Oryctolagus cuniculus: one gene and its partners. The protein of the gene in region 1 interacts with the protein of each later gene in a pairwise test. Links are inferred from orthologs where the notes say so. Each region holds a gene or a part of one and is shown in the gene's direction. Other genes may lie near its edges.

Region 1 (5,787 bases):
TTCAAAAAAAAAAAAAAAAAAAGCTTTTTTAAATATTGAAGATCACAACACATAGGGCTATCATAAAGATTAAATAAGATACGAGATAATATACCTAAAATCCTTTCTTAACTTTGAAGCACTGTAAAAGTAGAAGGTACTCATTATTATTTGCCCCATAACTCAAGTGCATTCTATGAGAAAAATGTTTCTTTTTAAATGTAGAAGTTAGTTCAAAGCAATCTAAATCAGTGACAAGAATCTGTAAATTACTGAGCTAAGAATCAGGTTTACTCAAAGAATACCTCTACAAGATCCTTTCTTGGTCTCAACTTTAAAAGGGGTTCACTAAGACGGATGGAACACATTCCACCACTTCCTTCATAGCTGCATATGCCAGCACACCTGGAAAACAACCACCACAAAAATGGGTTACAGTTATCAAGCAGACATATACAAAAGAGAAACAAAACAGATTCTTATACACTCTATTAGGAGAGAGCTTTCTGGAAAGTATATCCTCTTTGGGAACAGACACTAGTGCTTCATCTCTGTTCATGAAGAGCAATGGCTTCCCACTCCATTGCAGGCTGCATGCAAGAGCTCACCCAGGACAATCCTGTTCTACTCTAAGCCTCTTCCCCCCACAAGCTATCATCAGTTTGTGGTGGTTAACAAGCAGATGTCCAGCAGCATATATGAAGGAGATTTGTACTTTAAACACGATTTTGTATCACACCTTAATCTGTCCTACTGTAGGTTGTTTTGTATCAAATCAAAAACAACCGTGGGGGGCAGGCACTGTGACACGGCAGGTTCAGCCCTGCTTCAGTGACCAGCTGCCTGCTAATGCCCCTGGGAGACAGCAGATGATGGCCCCACTACTTGAGTTTCTGTCACCTGTGTTGGAGACCAAGATGGAGTTCCTAGCTCTTGCATTCAATCTGGCCTACCCCGTCCCCACCCCCAACCTCACTCCACCCCCTGTTGTGGATATTTAGGAAGACAACCAGCAAATGGAAAATCTCTGTCTTTCTCAGTCAGAAAAAGAGGCATGGCAAAGTGGTAACTGAAACTTAACTCTGATAATGTGCAGCTTATCAACTCAAATCAGCAGCTCTCAAACTTCATGTGTAGAGAGGGGATCCTTTTAGAAGCATCACCAAAGAGCTCCCGAGTCGAGAAATATGGAGACCTCAACTCCCTCCCCATTCCAAAACACTGGCTCACTACACCAAGTGGTGGTTTGTTAACTAGGCCATCACGCAGCCTTCGGCAGTTTTTCTGCGTCCTCAGCTGCCTTTCTGGAAAGATCTGAGTGCTTGTCCCTCTTGTTTTCTAGAGCACTAGCACAGGAAGGTTAGAAACGTGTGACTTTACAGTGGGGCGAGTTGTCTTTTTTTTTTTCTTCTTCTTCTTTTGGTCTTTTTCCCCCTCATTATGTTCTTTCTAATTCCAACTACAGTGGCGTGAGCTACATAGCTTTCTTAGCTGTTTGAACTGGATAAGAAGAGAGAAACACATCAAGCGTCCAAAGCCAAACGCTCTGGTTTAACTCCCCTGGGACTGGCAGGCAAGAAGTGCGGCCCCCTCCGCCTCGGTTCCCCCCGCGGGGCTCGGGACTCACAGGGTCATGCGCAAGCTCCACTTCACCTCCACGGCCTCCAGCTGGCCCCAGAAGAACCGGTCGTTGAACTGCACAAACAGGGCCTGCAAATCCGGCGTGGGGTCCACCAACTCCCAGGACGCGTCTACCAGCGACAGGGGCTCCTGGGCGCCATCGCGCTCCGCAACCTGCAAGTTCCACTCCTCCTGAAGCTGAAGTGCCAAAACCAGGTCCTCATCCATCACTGCCAGGATCCCAGTCGGGGCTCACTGGCGTTAGGCTGACTCCCGACTCAGGCCGCAGAAACGTTTCAGAGGCTTCAAGCTCCTAGGATACCGGTTCTCGGGCTGCTCTCGGGGTCGCTCTGCCAATCTCGCGAGAACTCGGGGAAAACGGAACTGAGAACAGGAACCAGAACCGAGTTTGCTCCGAACTCCGACGGCAAGATTCTAGGGCTTAAACAAGAAACTAGCCGTGACACCTCGAAACTGGAGCAGAACCCCGGGCTCGGCCCGAGGACGGTTACAGGAAGCTAGTTAACGCGTCTACGCTTCACCAGGAACTTCAAACCCAAACGTCACGCTCTGCTCATGCGCAGTACTTAAGCCTCGCCCTCTCGCCCTCTCCCCGCTTCCGCAATAACTCCTCCTGCGCGTGCGCTCTAGTTCGCGGGCAATCCTGCGCAGTCGTACGGTCTGCGCTCAGCCGCTTGCGCAGGCGCAGTGTGAGCAGCTCAGACCCGGGCGCAGGCGTACTCGTCTTGCTCGCATCTTGCTTCCTAAGCCCTGGAGCTCGGCTGGAGTTGGGTGGGTCTCGACAGCCGTGGCGACAGTGACAGCGACTGCCTGAGACCCAGACGGAAATGGCGATGGCGATGTCGGACAGTGGAGCGAGCCGCCTGCGGCGGCAGCTAGAATCAGGGAGCTTTGAGGCACGGCTGTACGTGAAGCAGCTCTCGCAGCAGTCGGACGGGGACCGGGACCTCCAGGAGCACCGGCAGCGCATCCAGGCTTTGGCGGAGGAGACAGCGCAAAACCTGAAACGCAACGTCTACCAGAACTACCGGCAGTTCATAGAGACGGCCCGCGAGATCTCCTACCTGGAGAGCGAGATGTACCAGCTCAGCCATCTCCTGACGGAACAGAAGAGCAGCCTGGAGAGCATCCCGCTCACCTTGCTGCCGGCCGCCGCCGCCGCCGCGGGGGCCGGCGCTGCCTCGGGCGGGGAGGAGGGGGCAGGTGGCGCTGGGGGCCGAGACCACCTCCGAGGCCAGGCCGGCTTTTTTCCCAGCCCCGGGGGCGCCTCGCGCGACAGTTCCGGCCCGGGCGAGGAAGGAAAGCAGCGCACTCTCACCACCCTGCTTGAAAAGGTGGAAGGCTGCAGGCACCTGCTGGAGACCCCGGGGCAGTACCTGGTGTACAACGGGGACCTGGTGGAATACGAAGCGGATCACATGGCCCAGCTGCAGCGGGTGCACGGCTTTCTCATGAACGACTGTTTGCTGGTGGCCACCTGGCTGCCCCAGCGGCGGGGGATGTATCGCTACAATGCTCTCTATCCCCTAGATGGCCTGGCCGTGGTCAATGTCAAGGACAACCCACCCATGAAGGACATGTTCAAGCTGCTGATGTTCCCCGAGAGTCGCATTTTTCAGGCAGAAAATGCCAAAATAAAACGAGAGTGGCTGGAGGTGCTGGAAGAAACCAAGAGGGCCCTCAGTGAAAAAAGACGAAGGGAACAGGAGGAAGCAGCGGCCTCTAGAGGGCCTCCCCAAGTGACCTCCAAGGCCACGAACCCGTTTGAGGATGATGAAGACGAAGAGCCAGCTGTCCCCGAGGTGGAGGAAGAGAAGGTGGACCTATCGATGGAGTGGATCCAGGAGTTACCTGAAGACCTGGATGTGTGCATTGCTCAGAGGGACTTTGAGGGGGCCGTTGACCTGCTAGATAAATTGAATCATTACCTAGAAGACAAGCCCAGCCCACCTCCTGTAAAAGAACTCAGGGCCAAGGTGGATGAGCGTGTCCGGCAGCTCACGGAGGTGCTGGTTTTTGAACTGTCCCCAGGTCGTTCCTTGCGAGGTGGGCCCAAGGCTACTCGCAGGGCGGTTTCTCAGCTAATCCGGCTTGGCCAGTGCACAAAGGCTTGCGAGCTGTTTTTGAGAAACAGAGCGGCAGCTGTGCACACGGCCATCCGTCAGCTTCGCATTGAAGGTGCCACTTTACTCTATATTCATAAGCTGTGCCATGTCTTCTTTACGTGTCTTCTCGAGACTGCCAGAGAATTTGAGACAGATTTCGCCGGCACCGACAGTGGCTGCTACTCTGCCTTTGTGGTCTGGGCGAGATCAGCCATGGGCATGTTTGTAGATGCTTTCAGCAAGCAGGTGTTTGATAGCAAGGAGAGCCTGTCCACGGCAGCAGAGTGCGTCAAGGTGGCTAAGGAGCACTGCCAGCAGCTGGGAGATATTGGACTAGACCTCACCTTCATCATCCACGCCCTTCTGGTGAAAGACATCCAGGGGGCCTTGCACAGTTACAAAGAAATCATCATTGAAGCCACCAAACATCGCAACTCGGAGGAGATGTGGAGGAGGATGAACTTGATGACTCCAGAGGCCCTGGGCAAGCTCAAAGAAGAGATGAGAAGTTGCGGGGTGAGTAACTTTGAGCAGTATACCGGGGATGACTGCTGGGTGAACCTAAGTTACACAGTGGTCGCTTTCACCAAACAGACCATGGCGTTTTTGGAAGAGGCCTTAAAGCTGTATTTCCCAGAGTTGCACATGGTACTGTTGGAGAGCCTGGTGGAAATCATTCTGGTTGCCGTCCAGCATGTGGATTATAGCCTTCGGTGCGAGCAGGATCCAGAGAAGAAGGCTTTTATCCGACAGAATGCGTCCTTCCTATATGAAACGGTGCTCCCGGTGGTGGAAAAAAGGTTTGAAGAAGGTGTGGGGAAACCTGCCAAGCAACTCCAAGACCTGAGGAACGCATCAAGACTCATGCGGGTGAATCCTGAAAGTACGACATCAGTCGTCTGAGGCTGGAGTCTGTCCATATGTGTACAGATGATAGTGCTTATAGGTTATTTATATTTATATTGTTGTATTAGCATATTCTGTATAGTCTCAAACACAGCTTACAAGTAAAAAGTGCCCTCAGAGATGCAAAACCAAAAGAAGAAAGGAAAAGAATGTAAAATTAAGCCCAAATAACAAAAAATATCAAAGTTGTTAAAACATATACTGACCTTTTAAATTATGCTAGTTCTCTAATGGGTTTATGATAGCACTACAGTTATTTCAGCTTCTCCTTTGAACCAAAATACACTTTCTCACAGTGTATCTTATTCAACACAGATAAATATGTCTACAAATACATCAGTTTACGTGTGTGTGAAAAGTTTCCTGGTTACGTTTCTTAAAGGGTGCAGTACCATGTAAAACACGCTGCCTCAGTACTTCCCCTTCTTGAAGTGTGATTGGACACTTTTTGGGGAAAAGAAAGGAGTTGGGAAAGTTGGTTTCGGAGTAAACTCTAGTCAAAAGAATTCTTTCTCCATGATCTAGCTAGCTAGCTTGGGGCCTCAGATACTCCAGTCCCTATATAGGAGGAAGCTTTTATACAGATTCAAACATTTCCAACAGAATTTGAATGGCTAATTATTTTCACTTGTTAATTAGCCGCTCCATAGTTTTCCTACTGGAGTTGGGAACGTTTACTTGGAAATCTTAAAGATTGTGATTTTTTTCAACACGTTTCTGAATTGTGTGAATTTCCAGCTGGAGCTTTTGTCTGTTATATTTATATTTAATAATAATAATAATAAAACAGGAAACTTGACAATCCTGACTGCAGCCAGTGATTTTAGCTCCCTTTTCAATGTAGGTTATTAGGGGCTGTCATCAAGCAAATGCAAAAAATTTTTCACTGAACTATTTAGATTTTAGGGACTGAGTAGCTGGGAAAGTAGAAAAAAAATCATAAGCAAATCTCAGTGGTTTCACTGAGTATGACAACTTTGAGCAGAGATTTGTTTTTGGTTTTGTATTTTTGTAACAAAGTGGAGAACCGAAGTGAGACAGTGTGCCCAAAGGAAAGGGAAGAAGAGAATCTTTTACTTAAAAAAAAAAAAAAGAACAAACAAACTCCTGGAATGCTCCATGCTGTGTTTTTCTTGTTTTATTTTTTACTTTCCTT
Region 2 (5,358 bases), on another chromosome or scaffold:
TGAGCTCCCTGGAGGCGGCTGCAGCCGCCTGGCGCCGCCGGCCAGCAGAGGGCGCAGGCGCTGGGGGCCCGGGCCCCTCCGCAGAGCAGGAAGGGGCCGGGGGCGGCGCGCGGGAGGCGGCGCGGCTGGCCGAGAAGAACGCCTGGCTGCGGCTGGCCCTGCAGAGCCGCGAGGACGAGCTGGGCCACACGCGGGCCGCCCTGCGGGCCCTCGAGGCCGACAAGGAGACGCTGCAGAGAGAGGTGAGCGGGGCCGCGGAGGCAAGTGCAGCGCGGGACGCACGCTCCGTTAGTCATTCGACAAACCTCTAGGGAGCCCTGGCCTAGGGCGCCCATCAGACGCGGGTCCCTCACAGCCTCCGTGAAGGCGACAGCGGAATAAAGACCAGAACGCAGGGGCAGGCGCTTGGCCCGTGTCCTTAGAGGAGAGGGCGGGGCCCTGGAGATTTGGGGCTCTCCTCACCACCCCAGAAGTGGCTTTGGGCATGGCTGGTGCGTGGGTGGAGCCCCCAAGCCTGAAACCTCCCCTCCCCCACCCGCGGCCAACCCGGCATTGTCCTCACCCCTCGCAGGTCCAGGAGCTACAGGATGCTCTGATGAGGCTGGAGCCCCTGTCTCCGCGCACCCACAGCCACGCTGGAGGCTCAGGGAGTGGTTCTAGCAGTTCTGGGGCGGATGGGGAGCCCTGGGGGGGTCAGGTGAGTGCGAGAGGCGCAACCCGCAGCATCCAGGCAGGGGAGACCCGGATCCTGGCTCTGGGGGGTTGCATGGCCCTGGGTTCTCGGTGGCCATCTGGCTGGCTCAGGGCACACGTCCTCCCTGCAGGACTCCCTCTCCCTGGCTCACCCGCTGCTCCGGCGCATCCGGAGTGACTCCAGTGTGCACATCCTGGGCTCTCTCCCCTCGCGACCCCTGGCCCCCGAGATGCAGATCCTGGAGGCCCAGATGGAACAGCTCCGCGGGTGAGCGCCACCACTGCTGAGCTTTTAAGGGCACCGGCCGCTGTCCTGCCGCCCCGGGGATGGGCGTCTAAGCCCCGGGGATGGGCGTCTAAACGGGGTAGGAGCGGGGTGGAAACTGGCCCCTGGCTGCTCCCCCCCTCCAAAGAGTCCCCTCGTTTTCCCTCTCCCTCCCCCACCCCGAGACAGAAACATCGAGAAGCTCAAATGCTTCAACCGGCTGCTACTGGCCGTGCTGCAAGGGCGCAAGGGCCGGTGTGAGAGCCTCAGCATGCGGCTGAGCCAGCGGGAAGCCGAGGCTACAGCCCTGCGGCTGGCGCTGCAGGACAGGTCAGGGGAGAGGTCCCCGCGGGGGAGGGGCCGCGAGCCACGGCGTGGGAGGGCGCTCAGGACCCCCGTCCCGCAGTGAGCACCGTGAGGCCGTGTGCGCGGCTCTCCTGGCCCTGCACGAGGCCAGCTCCGGAGCGCGGGACTTGGAGGCCACTGAGAGGGAGGCGTGGCGGCTGCTGGCACAGGAGGAGGGCGGCGCAGACGCCGCGGCACCGCGGAAGGCACAGCCAAGGTAGGCGCCCGGGGACCGCGCTGGGCCTTGGGGCTCCCCGGGGCTGGCCTCCGTGATGGCCTGCGGCACCCACTCCTCCTCTCCTCCCGCAGCCCCGAGGGCAGCAGTGTGGATAAACCCACACCGCAGGAAGTGGCCGCCCTGCTGCAGGGCTATGCCCGGCGTCTGCGGCAGCGCCAGGCTCTGGTGAAGACCCCCCCAGAGCCGGGCCCCACCGTGGAGCCCACGCCCACCATGCCCCACGCAGAAGCCATGGTGCAGGCCATGCTGGAAGCCCAGCCCGGCCCGGCCCTGCCGCGGTTGGAGAAGATGGAGATACAGAGGGAACTGGTGGCCACACGGGTACACAGGGGCTGTGGTCCCTGGGGGGGGGGGGTCAGAACCGACAGAGGTGTGGTTGGGATGGGGAGGGGGAAAGGTTCTGCTGGGCTGGGAAGGGCTTCCTGGAGGGAGAATTGAAGCTGGGGTTTTGAGGGATGAATAGGAGTTTTGTTACTCACAGACCTCTCAATCCAGTTTTTCCCAAACGTGCTCGCCAGCCTCAGTTTCCCCTCCCCGACCCCTCAGGAGACCCTGGCGGACCTGATGTTGCAGCTGCAGCTGGTGCGGCGGGAGAAGCGGGGCCTGGAGCTGCGGGAGGCGGCGCTGCGCGCCCAGGGCCCCGCCCACGCACTCCTGCTGGAGCAGCTACAGTGGGAGCGCGCGCAGCTGGGAGCCGCGGGGCCCCACAGCGGCGCGGGGGACAGCAGCGGGGCGGGCAGCAGCGAGGAGGAGGAGGAGGAGCGGCCCCAGGTGAGCGGCCCTTCGGGGGTCGCTGCCCTTGGCCCCTAGGGGTTCAGTGGATGAGAGAGAGAGAGGGAGAGAGGTCTTCCATCTGCCGGTTCACTCCCCACATGGCTGCAAAGGCCGGGTCTGGGCCAGGAGCCGGGAGCTCCATCCGGGTCTCCCACGTGGGCGGCAGGACCCAAGCCCTGGAGTCGTGGGCCCCTGCCTCCCAGGGGGCGCATGCGCAGGGAGCTGGGGCGCACGCAGATCAGCTGGGACGCCACCAACACTCTGATACGGCCACGGCTGTCCCAGGCAGCAGCCCGCCCCGCGGTGCCACCACACCGCCCCTGCCCCAGGCTTCTAAACGGGGCTCTTCGCATCACCCCTCCCACCTGCAAGCCGGTGCTGCCACCAGGAATGTCCACCGTCTCCAGGAAGCCCTCCTGGGTTGCCCTCAAAGGAGCAATATTCGGCACCCCACCCCACCCCGGCCCTGTGACTTATCTCCCTTATCAGGGACTTGAGGGTCTCTTAGCAGAATGGGGGCTCTGGGAAGCGAGGGGCTCTGGCTGCCCCCCCCCCAGGCCAGCTTCTATGCCCAGGCTGGGCTGAGCACTTCTAGACAGAGGTCACCTCCCTCCCTTCTGTCTCCTACAGGGTCCTCCTGCTGTCCCCAACGCCACCGAGGGAGGCCAGGTGGGCAGGGCGTGGGACCCGGAGAGGTTAGCCCAGGAGCTGGCCGCTTCGCTCGCCAGGTGTGTGCCTGGGTGGGTTCTGCGGAGGAGGCGGGGGTGGGGACGTGTGTGTGTGTGTGTGTGTGTGTGTGTGTGTGTGGTGTGGCAGCGTGCGCCTGCGCGCAGGGGCGTGGGGAGCGGAGAGGAGGACCGGGTCGGGCCGCGGCCGGAGCCCCGCTGTCTCCACTCCCGCGCCAGGGCCGCGGATCTTCGCGCTCAGCTGCGGGCTCTGTGGCGGGAGCTGGAGCAGGTGGCTCAGAAGGGGCGCGTCCGGCGGGCTCAGAGCGCCGAGCTGAACAGCGATCTATGCAAGGCGCACAGGTGGGCCGCCGCCCCCCGCAGCCCACCCCTGCTGACCGCGGGTGTGTCCCTGGGCCTCGTTCCCCCCACTTGGAAGATAGTGAGCGGGTGCAGTGCAGGCCACGCCTTTCCTGCAGGATGCCCGGAGCCAGCTAGGACGTAGCCCCGCCCCCGCGGCGCCCCGCCCCGCCCCCGCCGCAGCCCTGGGTGGGGTGGGGGTGCTGTTCTCTGGGGTGGGGCGCTGTTCCCCGGCTCAGCCACCCACACCCTGCAGTGCCCTGGTCCTGGCGTTCAGAGGCGCCCACCGGAAGCAGGAGGAGCAGCGGCGCAAGTTGGAGGAGCAGGTGGCAATCCTGGAGGCCCGGCAGGCGGAGGAGTTGGCAGCACTGGAAGCCACGGCCCGGGCGCTGGAACAGCCCGGGTGCCCCTGCCCGCCTCCTCCCCCCCAGCTTGGGGAGACCTTGCTGTAGGCTCCACCCCCAGCCACGTGTCATAAACCGGCCTGGAGTGACTTGTCGCCCTGGGGTGCATGTGTCCTCATGGGTGGGGACCGGTTGCCTGGGCCACCGGGGTCAGGCTGTGAAGGTCATGGTCTCCCCCTCCCCCCCCCGGGACCCGGAACAATCAATCCAGGGGACAGGGAAGGTGGCAGAGCCCGAGCTGATGTCCCCAAGTCCTTTCTTTGTCCAGAAACCCAGGGCGGGCCCCTGGGGACAGGACACTCGTCCCCTGCCCATCTGCTTCCCAGGGAACAATCCAGAACAACTGGAGGCCCCCAAGGTTGGGGTTCAGGTTCAGGTTCAAGGCGTGGATGGTCGGCTGGAAGAGGAATCAGGGTTTGTGGAGGCTGAGGGCAGGCATCAGAGAAAAGTCTGGAACTCTCGATGCGTGTCCTTCCGGGGAGGGGGTGGGGCACAGGCCTGCCGGGCCCTGGGCAGCCTGGGAGCTTCCAGATCTCCCGCGGAGGTTGGGGGCAGCGGGAGGCGTTCCTGCCAGGTTAATTGCAGGCGACTGATTAGCATGTCATTTGCATAGGCCGCACCCCCAGCCCCTCCGCAGCAGGCTGGCTGGCCCTAGGGGGCTGGGATTAGTAACCCTAGACAGGAGGGATTAGGAAGGTTGTGGGCCCCTACCTGGGGGGGTGGGCGCCCCAGACCGCACCTGTGCAGGTGGTGCGGGGGCCCGCGGCCTCTCCACGGTGGGAGGGGCCAGGCCGGCTTGAGGTCAGGGGCAGCCGGGCCCTGGATCGCAGGGATGGGTGACTTTTGGGGCCCCAGCGCTCACTCTGCGCCCGCGTCGGCTTTGAGCGTAGGTGGGAAACTGAGGCAGCGCCCCCTTCTTGCCCTGGTCCATCTCCCAGCGTCTGCACTCCCTCCCACGAGGCTGCCCGGGGGCGGGGCGGAGGGAGCCAAGGTCACCTGCGGGCGGGGGCGGGGGCGGCCTGTCGCCGCGGGGTCTGGCCGTTCCCACGGGCGTCCCCCGCTGCAGATGCGCCAGGAGCTCTTTGTCCCGCCCGTCCGCGGCCGCCGCAAGGTCAAGTGTCACCGCGGGGTCGCGGGCAGGGGTCAGGGGGGCGGGGTCGCGCCTCGGGCCATCCCTCTCCCCAGCCGGGCCTCACAGGGGCGGGGCAGCAGCCCGGAGGTCCCCCTCCGTTCCCACCTCGCCTTCTTACCCCCCTCTTTAGACCCCTTCCCTGCCACCCCCCCCCCAGCACTCGAGCTTCCTGCTAAGGCTCCTGGCAGGTCCGGCCGAGGGTCCTAGGACCCCGCGGTACCCCCCATTCCCAAGGAGCCGACGAGCCGAAGGGTCCTCTCTGCCCACTCAGGCCCCCCGCCCGGCAGGGTTTATGGAAAGGGAGAAAGAACCCGCGCCATGTGACTGGCGGGAAGTCCACGCCACGTCTCCCCTAAGCCCCCAGCCTCAGTTTTCCTCTAAGCGTTACACAGTGCGCCGACATCCAGCGCCCCAGGGTGGGGGGCGGCACTGGGAGTGCAGGTCTAGGACCACTGCTGTCCCCTCACCCCCCAGCCGCGTGC
Region 3 (5,119 bases), on another chromosome or scaffold:
CAAGGTAACTACCTAGACATTAATTTTCCTAGGATTTTAAGCACAATTTTTATGTTTGTTCTACTGTTTCATTTGTTTTTAAAAATGAATAACATTAAGAACACAATTAGATTTCTCAGGTTCAGTTAGTAACTAAAGCAGTGGAAATTCCTTCTATTAAGTAATAGACTACATTGAAAAACTGATTTTTATTTTGGTTCCACAACAATCAAATAAATGCTAACATAAAAAGGCTAATATTTAGCTCAAGTGAAAAGATTAAGTTCCTTTAGGAAATGAGAGTGAAGAGTGGGTGGCAGAGATGTTCTGTCTCACTAGAAAAAGGAGCTGAGCATATGAAGTTTAAGCCTGCAAATGTGCTTAGGAAGTTAGGATGTTAATACAGAAAGTGAACTTAGTGAAGTTAGTGGTATTCCTCAAGAGGGAGCAGTTTTCTCATTGCTCCTGAGCTGTTTGAAATGCTCCATTTCATTATACAATCCGTTTGTCACGAGGACCGTGGTGTCTTGTGCTTTTCCTCTTTCTTTCCTCCTGCATGTGTTTGCTGCTGTTCATCAGATTCTCGTCCTCTGCACTTGACACTGTAGTACGTTTACGGATCTGCAGGTACGCTGCAGCATACAGAATACTGCAAGGCACGGCTGTAGATCATACTCAGGCATCACACTAATAATCAGAACAAGTAGTTCTTGGGAAAAATTACAGAGAAGAGTTCATAATTGGAACGAACATTTTTCTTGTTGCCTTTAATATCTTGAGTAATTATCACGAACACAGACTTGTCAGATGAGCCTGGAAGTGACTCATACCACGTTGGTATACTCCCTCCCTGTCTTAATGATGAAACAATGCAGGCTCAGGTTGGGTCCTAAATTCAGCATTTTCTATTATTCACATTCATGTGTGTCTGTGTGTGTGTGTGTCTGTGTCTGAATTTGGGGTGTTTTCCTGTTCACTTTTTAAAACAGGTGCAGCAGTAGCAAAAAGCTCAGGTGCTACAATCCAACTGCCAGCAGTCCATGAAAAAGGGTTTGTTGAGGGAGCAAGCACATGTGTCAGTAATGTTATTCCTCTGTTCTCCCTGCTAACTCTATTATTATAAGCCACCAGGGGATAGAAATTGACAAGAATTGAAATGCTCAGCAGGATTCCTTGGCCCATTCAATCCCTTGCTGGCTCAAAACAGTGCTAGCAAGAATTGCTGTGGAGAGTGACTAGCGCTCCTACATTCACTGTCTTCACACCATGCTGAATTTCTCACTGATGGGTCAGTTAATCTATATATTTGGAATATATCTGTGGAATAGATGATAGCTTCTTTTTTTAACCCTTAGCCCCATGATATGATAGAAAGAGAATGGAGAAGTGATGGCCCTTTAAGACATTTTCAAGTATCTCCAAAAAGAATAAAGAAAAAGAAAATGATTCTGTTTAGTCTCTAGATAGAAAAGTGGATTGAGAATTTTATTTCCACAATTTCACTTATAAGCAGAACTATTAAGGAAACTTAGGCTGAAAAAATATAAATGTTTTAATGTGTTGGCGTGTTCATTTAAATTTCTTAATTTGACCTAAATACAAAGAGTAGTTTTGTAAAGTTGAATTCCATAGGGAAAAGAATTTTTTAGTATCTCATTAATTTTCCATTTCTTAGGAAATAATCATGAAAATTTTGTGCCAGTAGATGGTTTTACTATCATTTCAATCATTGGTATTATTAATGTAGTATTATATGTTAATAATACGATAATGTATAATTATAGTATTTATACTAATATATATTAACATCTTTTAAATTTTCCTCCTTTGTAATTTATTTATTGACTTCTAATATGAAAGAAACTAGACTTTAGTTTGGAAAAAAATTGGAACAGAATTTTACAGTACATCTTTCTTAGAATGGCATTTTTTGAAAGGTGGAATGGAAAGATGACTTCTGTGATTAGGAGTTTTTAAAATGAGCATTGGAAATATAGGTAGAGTGGGAAGGTATGTGTTATACTTGAAATTTCAAGGTCTGTTTTGTGTGGAGTTCTGAAATAAAAAGATGTTAAAAGTGTAATCATTTTTATTAGATGTTCACAAGTTCAGTTTATAAGTATGAACAATGCTGTTTTTAAAAGATAATTTGGTAAAAATGAATTCTGTCTATGATGAAGTAGAATTAAATTTTTTTTAAGATTTATTTATTTGAAAGTCAGAGTTACATAGAGAGAGGAGAGAGAGGTCTTCCATCCAATGGTTCACTCCCTAATTGGCTGCAATGGCTGGAGCTGCGCTGATCTGAAGCCAGGAGCTTCTTCTGGGGTCTCCCACGCAGGTGCAGGGGCCCAAGGACCTGGGCCATCCTTCACTGCTTTCCCAGGCCATAGCAGAGAGCTGCATCGGAAGTGGAGCAGCCAGATCTTGAAACGGCGCCCATAGGGGATGCCAGCACTTCAGGCCAAGGTGTTAACCCCCTGCGCCACAGCGCTGGCACCTAAAATACTTTGTAATACAGCAATTATTTTCTCCAAAGGTCCACATGGTTTTTAGGGATATTAGTTTTTATTAAAACTTACATAAAATTAATGCCCTTTGATGTTGATGGTTTTTCTATATGTAAATCTCAAGACTAGATATTATATATTTCAAAGAATAAAGAAGATCACTAAGTTCTATCCTGTATATGATAAGAATTTGTTATATAGTATTTAAGATTATGTTCTTACCATGAATATTATGTTAACAAGTATCACAATTTATGCATTTGAAGTTAAGAATATATTTAAACTTCTATTCATTTGAACTCCTCTAGAAAATAGTTGTGCCAGAACTGATGCTGTTTTCACCCCTTACCCTGGATTTAAAAGTCACGTAAAGGGTAAGTGATCCTTGTGTAGTAACTTTGTCACTGACAGAAGCTTATTCTAGACTTTTAGCAAAATGGAATAGAAATAACTTCCATATCTAAATTTTATTTTCAACACAAAACAAGAGGTCTTGCCTAAAGTACTATTAGGGAAGGAATTTCTGGATGGTTATTTATTTATTTAAATTTATTTGAGAAACAGAGCTCTTGTCTATGGTTTGTCCTCCTGATGCCTGCAGTAGGCTCTGGCTGGGGCCGGAACTGGGAGCTGTAAACTCGGTCTAGTTGTCCCACATGGGTGGCGTGAACTGCTGCCTCCCTGAGTCTGAATTAGCGGGAAGCTAGAGTCAGGAATGGAGCTGGACACTGAACCCGGTACTTTGATGTGGGATGGTAGGGCTGACCAAGGCTGAGACTTTTAAAGCAAATTTATATAGGCTCAAAAGTTTCTTTACTTAGTTTCTAGAGTTGTGAATACATATGGACCACAGACTAGACCTGAAGGAATTCAAGGGTCAGGTCACAAACCTAACAGCATGCTTCGAGACTGTGGTAATCAGGCTGTAGAAGAACGACTACAGAATATTGAGGCTCACTTGCGACTGCAGACAGGTAAGCCGAGGGAAGGTGGCGCCCGTGGTGTACCTTTGCAGGCGAGTAAGGAAATTCCAGTTCATTTCATCGCCAAATTTCCGTTGAATACCTTTTGTGGGTAAAACATTGTTCTGATGGATATGACAAGGAATGAAGTGTGGTCCCGACTTTATAGTTCTTGCTTAAGCTTGTTCTTGTCTCACACATCATGCGACTTTCTAAAATAGAGTGCTAGAAAAATGAGACTAGGTTCCAAATAGCTGCTGATAGCCTCAGTTTATTGAAATTAAAACTGAAAACTATTGTAGTCTTTATTAATAATTATTTAATTGAAAGGCAGAGCTTCAGAGATCTTCTACCTGCTGCTGGTTCACTTCTCAAATGAGTGTAATAGCCAGTCCTGGGCCAGGCTGAAGCCAGGAGGGCAGATCTCCATCTAAGCATTTGGGCCATCGTCTGCTTTCTCAGGTGCATTAGGGAACTGGATCAGAAGCAGAGCAGCCAGCACTCGAAGCAGAACTCATATGGGATGCCTGTGTTGCAGGTGGCAGCTTAACCTGCTGTGCCACGATGCAGGGACCTTAAAGTAGGCTTTTCTTACCACCACTTTGATAGCTTCCCACGACTTCTTATCACCCACTGTTACATACAAGGTGTGGATGAATGTGGTCCTCGTCTTCAAGGATCCCTCAGTGAGGATAAGCGTATAAATAAATAAAAGCCACAGGGAAGGTAAACTAACAAAATGATACTAAGAGCCAGTCACTTTGAGAGCATGTCAGCTCCCTTAATACTTAATCGTACCCTTTCAAGGCACTGGTGCTGTTACTGCTGCACAGATGAAGAAACTGCTGTTCAAAGGGCTCAAGCAACATGCTCAAGGTTGTAAGATAGAGACAAGTGGAAATCAGACCCAGATTTGAACTGGCTGCAAAGCCTGTGTTTCCCTCCACATTCAGTCACCATGCCGTGTTGATTCTGCCTTTTTTTTTTTTTTTTTTTTTTTTTTTTTTTTTTTTTTTTGACAGGCAGAGTGGATAGTGAGAGAGAGAGACAGAAAGGTCTTCCTTTGCCGTTGGTTCACCCTCCAATGGCCGCCGCGGCCGGCGCACCGTGCTGATCCGAAGGCAGGAGCCAGGTACTTATCCTGGTCTCCCATGGGGTGCAGGGCCCAAGCACTTGGGCCATCTTCCACTGCACTCCCGGGCCACAGCAGAGAGCTGGCCTGGAAGAGGGGCCACCGGGACAGAATCCGGCGCCCCGACCGGGACTAGAACCCTGTGTGCCGGCGCCGTAAGGCGGAGGATTAGCCTATTGAGCCACGGCGCCGGCCTGATTCTGCTTTCATCTGTCACCACAGCTGCTTTAGTTGACACCACTGTGATCTCCATGGGCTGATGGAAGGATATCAGCTGGTCTGTTTGCCAGTAGACCTCCTCTAGATTACTCTTTATCCTGTGTCCCAAATGCTTTTTCTAAAGTTCAGAAATCTTTAATGGTTTCCTGTTGTCCTTACAGTTACATCAAATTTAGTATTTTTTCACTCATCAACTATGTATTAAGCCCTTGCAATAAGCCAAGCACTGATGATATATTTTTTAAAGATTTATTTTATTTATTTGAAAGAGTTACACAGAGAGAGAAGAGGCAGAGAGAGTTCTTCCATCCACTGGT
Region 4 (5,119 bases), on another chromosome or scaffold:
AAGGATGCAGTGGTTTTATTGCTGTTACCTGGGACCACCTGGAAGGTTACAGGGTCCGGGCAGGACTCAAGTGTAAATACTGGGCTGCTTCCAAAGTGAGCCTCCGCAGATGCCCAGGCCCCTCTCACACACAGGCTGATTCCTAACTTCCTACCTAACACTTCCACCCCCAGCGCAGGATGACAAGAGCTAAAACAGGACCCCCTCCCACCCTGGCCCGAGTTCCGCTTCTCTGACCGGGAGGAAGGGCCCCTCCTTTTCCCTCCCTGGGGTACTGCCAGCCTCCCACCTGTCAGGGAGAACTAGGCCGCTCTGGCACCTGCCTGTGCCCCAGTCCCACCACTCCATCAGGACCGACTCCATAGGGTGCTGGAAGTTTCGGCCAGATTCCTGCATGTCACTGTCAACCTATGGAGAAATCCTGGGATTCCCTGGCCCCAGGGATGGAGGGGCCCCTCTGCCCTCCCACCTTTCCCTCTGGGTGACACTTGCTCTCTGCCTCCTTGTCTCTCCTGCCCCATGGACATGCGCTTGCTCTGACCAGGTGAACCTTAGTGATGCCTGCTCTGAATGGGGGCCCTGGTGGGAGTGGCAGGGGCTGGTGCTCCCGGAGACAGGAGCTGGAGGGGCAACCAAGAGGGGAATCGTGGCAGGTGTGAGTCACGGTTACCTTTGCAGTGGGTAAAACGTCGTGGGAAGCCCGAGTGAGGCTTCCATACATGAAGGGTGAGGCATGGGGCTCAGTAGTGTAGTCACTGTACAGCGAGCCCCTGCCAGGTGCCGGGCCCCGTCCCAGAGAATGGAGCAGGGAACAAAACCCAGCCCTGACGCCTGCAGCACACGCAGGCTGGAGGTGCGTCAGGCCCCACTGGGTCGGGGGTGGGGAACGTGGCAGGTGCACGTTGGGAGACCATGGTCAGGTAGGCTTGTGAGGAGGGGACTTAGGTGAAGCAGCCAGCTGTGTGGGTGTCTGCAGGAAATGTTCAAGTTGCTAAGGCCACAGACAAGCGTGCTTGGCATGTTCAGGGGTGGCCAGGCAGTTGGTGTCCAGGGCACAGTGGAAGCAGGTGAGGAGCCAGACCACCAAGAGCCAGGGAAGCCGTGACCAGGGCCTGGATTGCCTCTGCAGAACCGTTCATTATGCGTAGGGGCCAGCCTTGCTGGTCACTTAGCCCCACTGAACTCGGGGGTCTGCCGCGGTCTGCCTCAGCTGGGTTGTAGGGGCCTGTGACAGCGCTTGCCACCTGCCAGCAGCTGTATGTGAATGTGTAATTGCGGCTGTCCTGCACACCCCTGCCTGAGACTGGACACTCCTGGGGCAGGAGGCAGGGCCCCAGGGAAACTAGTACAGTTCATTCCCAGGCCTCTGTGCTTGGAGAATCCTGGTAGCGTCCCCCAGAAGCTCTACAACAGGCCAAACAGATAACGTTTTGAGAGACCTGGCCCCGCCCTGGCCTTACAAGTCGGCTGTTAGCAGCAGGAGAGACAGGAGAATGAGGGCTTGGGTGCAGTCCCCAGCCTTTGTGACCTTACCCTTGGCAGGATCTCCCAGCGAGTGGAGCTGAGCCGGAGCCAGCTGCAGGCCATCGGGCAGAGGGTCTCCTTGGCCCAGGCCAAGATTGAGAAGATCAAGGGCAGCAAGAAGGCCATCAAGGTAGTCTGTGCACCCCTGGGTTCTGTGGTGGACAGGCAGTTCCTCCATCTCCCGCACTCCTGCTGTCCTGCCACACGTCAGGTTTCCCTCCTTGCGGCATCCCAGTACCCACTCCCACACTACCAGCCACCCTTGGCTCTCTGGAGCCCCTCAGGCCCCAGATGTGTCCCTGTGTCCACAGGTGTTCTCCAGTGCCAAGTACCCAGCTCCCGAGCGGCTGCAGGAATACGGCTCCATCTTCTCGGGCGCCCAGGACCCCGGCCTGCAGGGGCGGCCCCGCCACAGGATCCAGAGCAAGCACCGCCCCCTGGATGAGCGGGCCCTGCAGGTGTCATGGCCACATACCCTGGGCAGGGAGGCTGCGGGCCCACTGGACAGAGAGTTGTCCCTGGAGAGGATGCGGGGATGGGGTGGGGTCCACAGGACCCAGAGCTGAAATCTCCATCTACCCTCTGGCCGCCCCCAGGAGAAGCTGAAATACTTCCCCGTGTGTGTGAGCACCAAGCCCGGACCTGAGGATGAAGCCGAGGAGGGGCTTGGGGGCCTTCCCAGCAACATCAGCTCCGTCAGCTCCTTGCTGCTCTTCAACACCACCGAGAACCTGTACGGCCAGGTGGCGGGGCTGTGCGGAGAGGCTGGGTGGACTGGCCGGGCCTACAGGGGCAGCAGGAGCCGAGCGCTTTCCTCCGGCCTGTGAGGCTTGGGAAGCCACCGTGGTCAGGAATGCAGCCCTAGAAGGGAAGGTGCTGCTGGCCTGACACCCCTCCTCCCACAGGTACAAGAAGTACGTCTTCCTTGACCCGCTGGCCGGTGCTGTGACCAAGACCCATGTGATGCTGGGGGCAGAGACAGGGGAGAAGCTATTCGATGCGCCATTGTCCATCAGCAAGAGAGAACAGCTAGAGCGACAGGTGGCAAGGGGCGGGGGAGAGGCAGGTGGTGGGGTCCCTGCAAGGAGCCATAATCCCACCCAGCTGTGTGCTGGCACAAGGCGACCTCCCCTCTGCCCCAGGGTCACGATGTGGCCTGCAGCCCCGTTGGCCGCTCATGCACCTCACTGACCCTACAGGTTCCAGAGAACTACTTCTACGTGCCAGACCTGGGCCAGGTGCCCGAGATCGATGTGCCTTCCTACCTGCCGGACCTGCCCGGCATCGCTGATGACCTCATGTACAGCGCCGACCTGGGCCCCGGCATTGCCCCCTCGGCCCCCGGCGCCATTCCAGAGCTGCCCACCTTCCACACGGAGGTGGTGGAGCCTTTCAAGCCAGGTGAGCTGGGAGCTCCGGGGGACTCCCTGGCCCCGCAGCCTCCTTCTCGAGGGCCTCACGTGTTCCCAACCTTCTCTTTCAGACCTGGAGGATGGGGTGCTCACAGCACCCCCACCACCCCCTCCACCCCCGCCACCTCCCCCAGCACCTGCGGTTCTGGTCAGTGCCCCACCACCACCTCCCCAGACAGTGGCCTCCACCGGCCAAGGTGCCAGGGTAGATGACAGCGGCAGCAGTGGGCCTCCAGGTAGGAGCAGCACTGGGCAGGGGCCAGGGCACACACACACTCTGAGGCACCTGTAGGTTCAAGGGACTGTGAATTCTGCGAATTCTGCATGTTCGGAACAGCTCTCCTTTCAAATGTTTTATTCAGTGGGTTCATAAAACCCTGTTTTTCAAGTGTCCTAGAGAGCTCCGGAATTCTAACCCCAGGAGGGGGAGCCTGGGCCCCCCATTCCCACCAATGGGGAAAGGGGGTTATTTAAAATGTGAGGTCACAAACTTCAGTTGTGATGTTCTAGCTCCTGGTGCATGGCCCCATCCACAAGGCACACAGAAGTCCCTCGCTGGTTCGTGGGGCACTGCTGAGACCCTGTCAGCCCATCAGGAATCTCAGCATTCGCCTTTGCAGTGGGAGAACTAGGAGGGCTGCATCTAGGCCCTGGTGCTCGGGCAGCTGGGGACAGGAACACCCAGGCCGCCGTGCGCACCGGGCTTCACCTTCAGCCGGCCCGAGTCCCTGCCTGAACAGCCTTCCCCCCTCCCAGCGGCAGTCCAGGGAGCTCCCAAAGAAGTGGTCGACCCCTCCAGCGGCCGGGCCACCCTGCTGGAGTCCATCCGCCAAGCCGGCGGCATCGGCAAGGCCAAGCTGCGCAGCGTCAAGGAGCGCAAGCTGGAGAAGAAGAAACAGAAGGAGCGGGAGCAAGGTGAGGGGCCCCCTCAGGGGAGGGGCCGCCCCGACATCCACCTCCGCTCTGCCTGCACAGTGGGCTTCCCCCCAGGTTGGGCACCTACAAGACAGACAAAGCTTGAGCTTAGCTTTCCTCTCTAAGGGGACTCGTCGTGAGTACCCCTGGCCCAGGGATACCCTGAGGCAGCACCTGAGGGGGAGCTCAGTCCAAGTCCTGAAAGCCCTCTGAGGCTGCAGTTGATGGGATGGAGACCTGGGCAGAGAGCAGCAGAGCCCCTGTGGTCAACGGCCCCGAGCTCACACCTAAGCTCTCTGGCCAGGTTTCCTGCAGGGCTGCTCACACTGATGCAACTCTAACACTGCTGGGTCTGCACAGAGGCACCGAGAGCAGGTGGTCAACAGGTGGTGGTGGGTGGGGCCGAGTGCAGCTAAGCCAGGGACTTCCTGCCTGGCTCCTCCACCTCCCTCACTGTGGCTTTTCTGTTGCAGTGAGAGCCACGAGCCAGAGTGGGGACCTGATGTCGGATCTCTTTAACAAGCTGGTCATGAGACGCAAAGGTCAGAGGCCTTGGGCAGGGGATACTTGCATCCTACACGGTCCTCCCCTAAGTTCCCAGGGGCTGAGAATGGGGGCCCCGGCCCACCTCCCTCACTCAGCCTTTTCCCTTGCAGGCATATCTGGGAAAGGACCTGGGACAGGGGCCAGCGAGGGGCCTGGAGGAGCCTTCGCCCGAATGTCTGATTCCATTCCTCCTCTGCCTCCTCCCCAGCAGCCAGCGGGAGAGGACGACGAAGATGACTGGGAGTCTTAGGGAAGCAGGTTCTCGGTCCCCTTGAGACAAGAAAGGTGAGGACTTGTGGCTCTGTGCCTGAGTCCTCTCCAAAGGCAGGGCTGTCCTAGAGCTGAGAGGAGCCACAGAAATAAAGTGCAAGAACTGAGTGCAAACCAGGAGCACACATTTTATTACGGAACTGCAGCTGTGGAGGACATACACAGAAATACTGCAGCATTTCCCTGCAGCCCGAGGCCCTCTCTCCGGGCTCAGAATAGAAGGTGTCTCTGCATTTGATCTGGTGCTGGGAAGAGCACAAGGCTGTGGGGGCAGGGGCCACCATCTGGCCGCCAGAGGCTGCAAACGCCTTTAATTCAAGGTCCCACAGCCTCCTGCAGACAGGCAGAGGCCTGACTTAGCTCCAGGGACAGCCTCAGCAAGGCCATCTGTTTTAGCGGCTTCTCTGGCTAAGCCTGGAGCTGGGGTTCTAGCGGAGCTGTTCTGGGCGCCC

Evidence for each region.
Region 2: the proteins of EXOC8 (region 1) and USHBP1 interact in binary tests that used the Homo sapiens proteins (3 or more experiments, as listed by UniProt). The two-hybrid records come from large-scale screens. The link is inferred for Oryctolagus cuniculus from reciprocal best matches to the Homo sapiens genes EXOC8 and USHBP1.
Region 3: the proteins of EXOC8 (region 1) and MBIP interact in binary tests that used the Homo sapiens proteins (3 or more experiments, as listed by UniProt). The two-hybrid records come from large-scale screens. The link is inferred for Oryctolagus cuniculus from reciprocal best matches to the Homo sapiens genes EXOC8 and MBIP.
Region 4: the proteins of EXOC8 (region 1) and WASHC1 interact in binary tests that used the Homo sapiens proteins (3 or more experiments, as listed by UniProt). The link is inferred for Oryctolagus cuniculus from reciprocal best matches to the Homo sapiens genes EXOC8 and WASHC1.

What each region holds. Positions count from the first base shown.
Region 1 is NC_091444.1:50,852,187-50,857,973, reverse strand, and holds the start of EXOC8 (exocyst complex component 8), read left to right. Parts: upstream 1-2,303; 5' UTR 2,304-2,447; coding exon 2,448-4,628; 3' UTR 4,629-5,787. Other genes in the region: DNA-dependent metalloprotease SPRTN, read right to left, coding at 285-384, 1,607-1,827. UniProt on the Homo sapiens protein: Component of the exocyst complex involved in the docking of exocytic vesicles with fusion sites on the plasma membrane.
Region 2 is NC_091447.1:65,253,473-65,258,830, reverse strand, and holds the end of USHBP1 (harmonin-binding protein USHBP1), read left to right. Parts: coding exon 1-242; intron 243-571; coding exon 572-697; intron 698-824; coding exon 825-961; intron 962-1,147; coding exon 1,148-1,288; intron 1,289-1,364; coding exon 1,365-1,520; intron 1,521-1,612; coding exon 1,613-1,862; intron 1,863-2,087; coding exon 2,088-2,312; intron 2,313-2,945; coding exon 2,946-3,043; intron 3,044-3,220; coding exon 3,221-3,343; intron 3,344-3,596; coding exon 3,597-3,792; 3' UTR 3,793-3,839; downstream 3,840-5,358.
Region 3 is NC_091443.1:39,330,149-39,335,267, forward strand, and holds part of MBIP (MAP3K12-binding inhibitory protein 1), read left to right. Parts: coding exon 1-4; intron 5-2,797; coding exon 2,798-2,863; intron 2,864-3,310; coding exon 3,311-3,463; intron 3,464-5,119. UniProt on the Homo sapiens protein: Inhibits the MAP3K12 activity to induce the activation of the JNK/SAPK pathway. Component of the ATAC complex, a complex with histone acetyltransferase activity on histones H3 and H4.
Region 4 is NC_091440.1:106,627,406-106,632,524, reverse strand, and holds the end of WASHC1 (WASH complex subunit 1), read left to right. Parts: intron 1-1,542; coding exon 1,543-1,654; intron 1,655-1,835; coding exon 1,836-1,982; intron 1,983-2,120; coding exon 2,121-2,257; intron 2,258-2,429; coding exon 2,430-2,565; intron 2,566-2,723; coding exon 2,724-2,925; intron 2,926-3,007; coding exon 3,008-3,172; intron 3,173-3,692; coding exon 3,693-3,851; intron 3,852-4,324; coding exon 4,325-4,393; intron 4,394-4,507; coding exon 4,508-4,647; 3' UTR 4,648-4,781; downstream 4,782-5,119. Other genes in the region: ATP-dependent DNA helicase DDX11, read right to left, coding at 5,096-5,119. UniProt on the Homo sapiens protein: Acts as a component of the WASH core complex that functions as a nucleation-promoting factor (NPF) at the surface of endosomes, where it recruits and activates the Arp2/3 complex to induce actin polymerization, playing a key role in the fission of tubules that serve as transport intermediates during endosome sorting.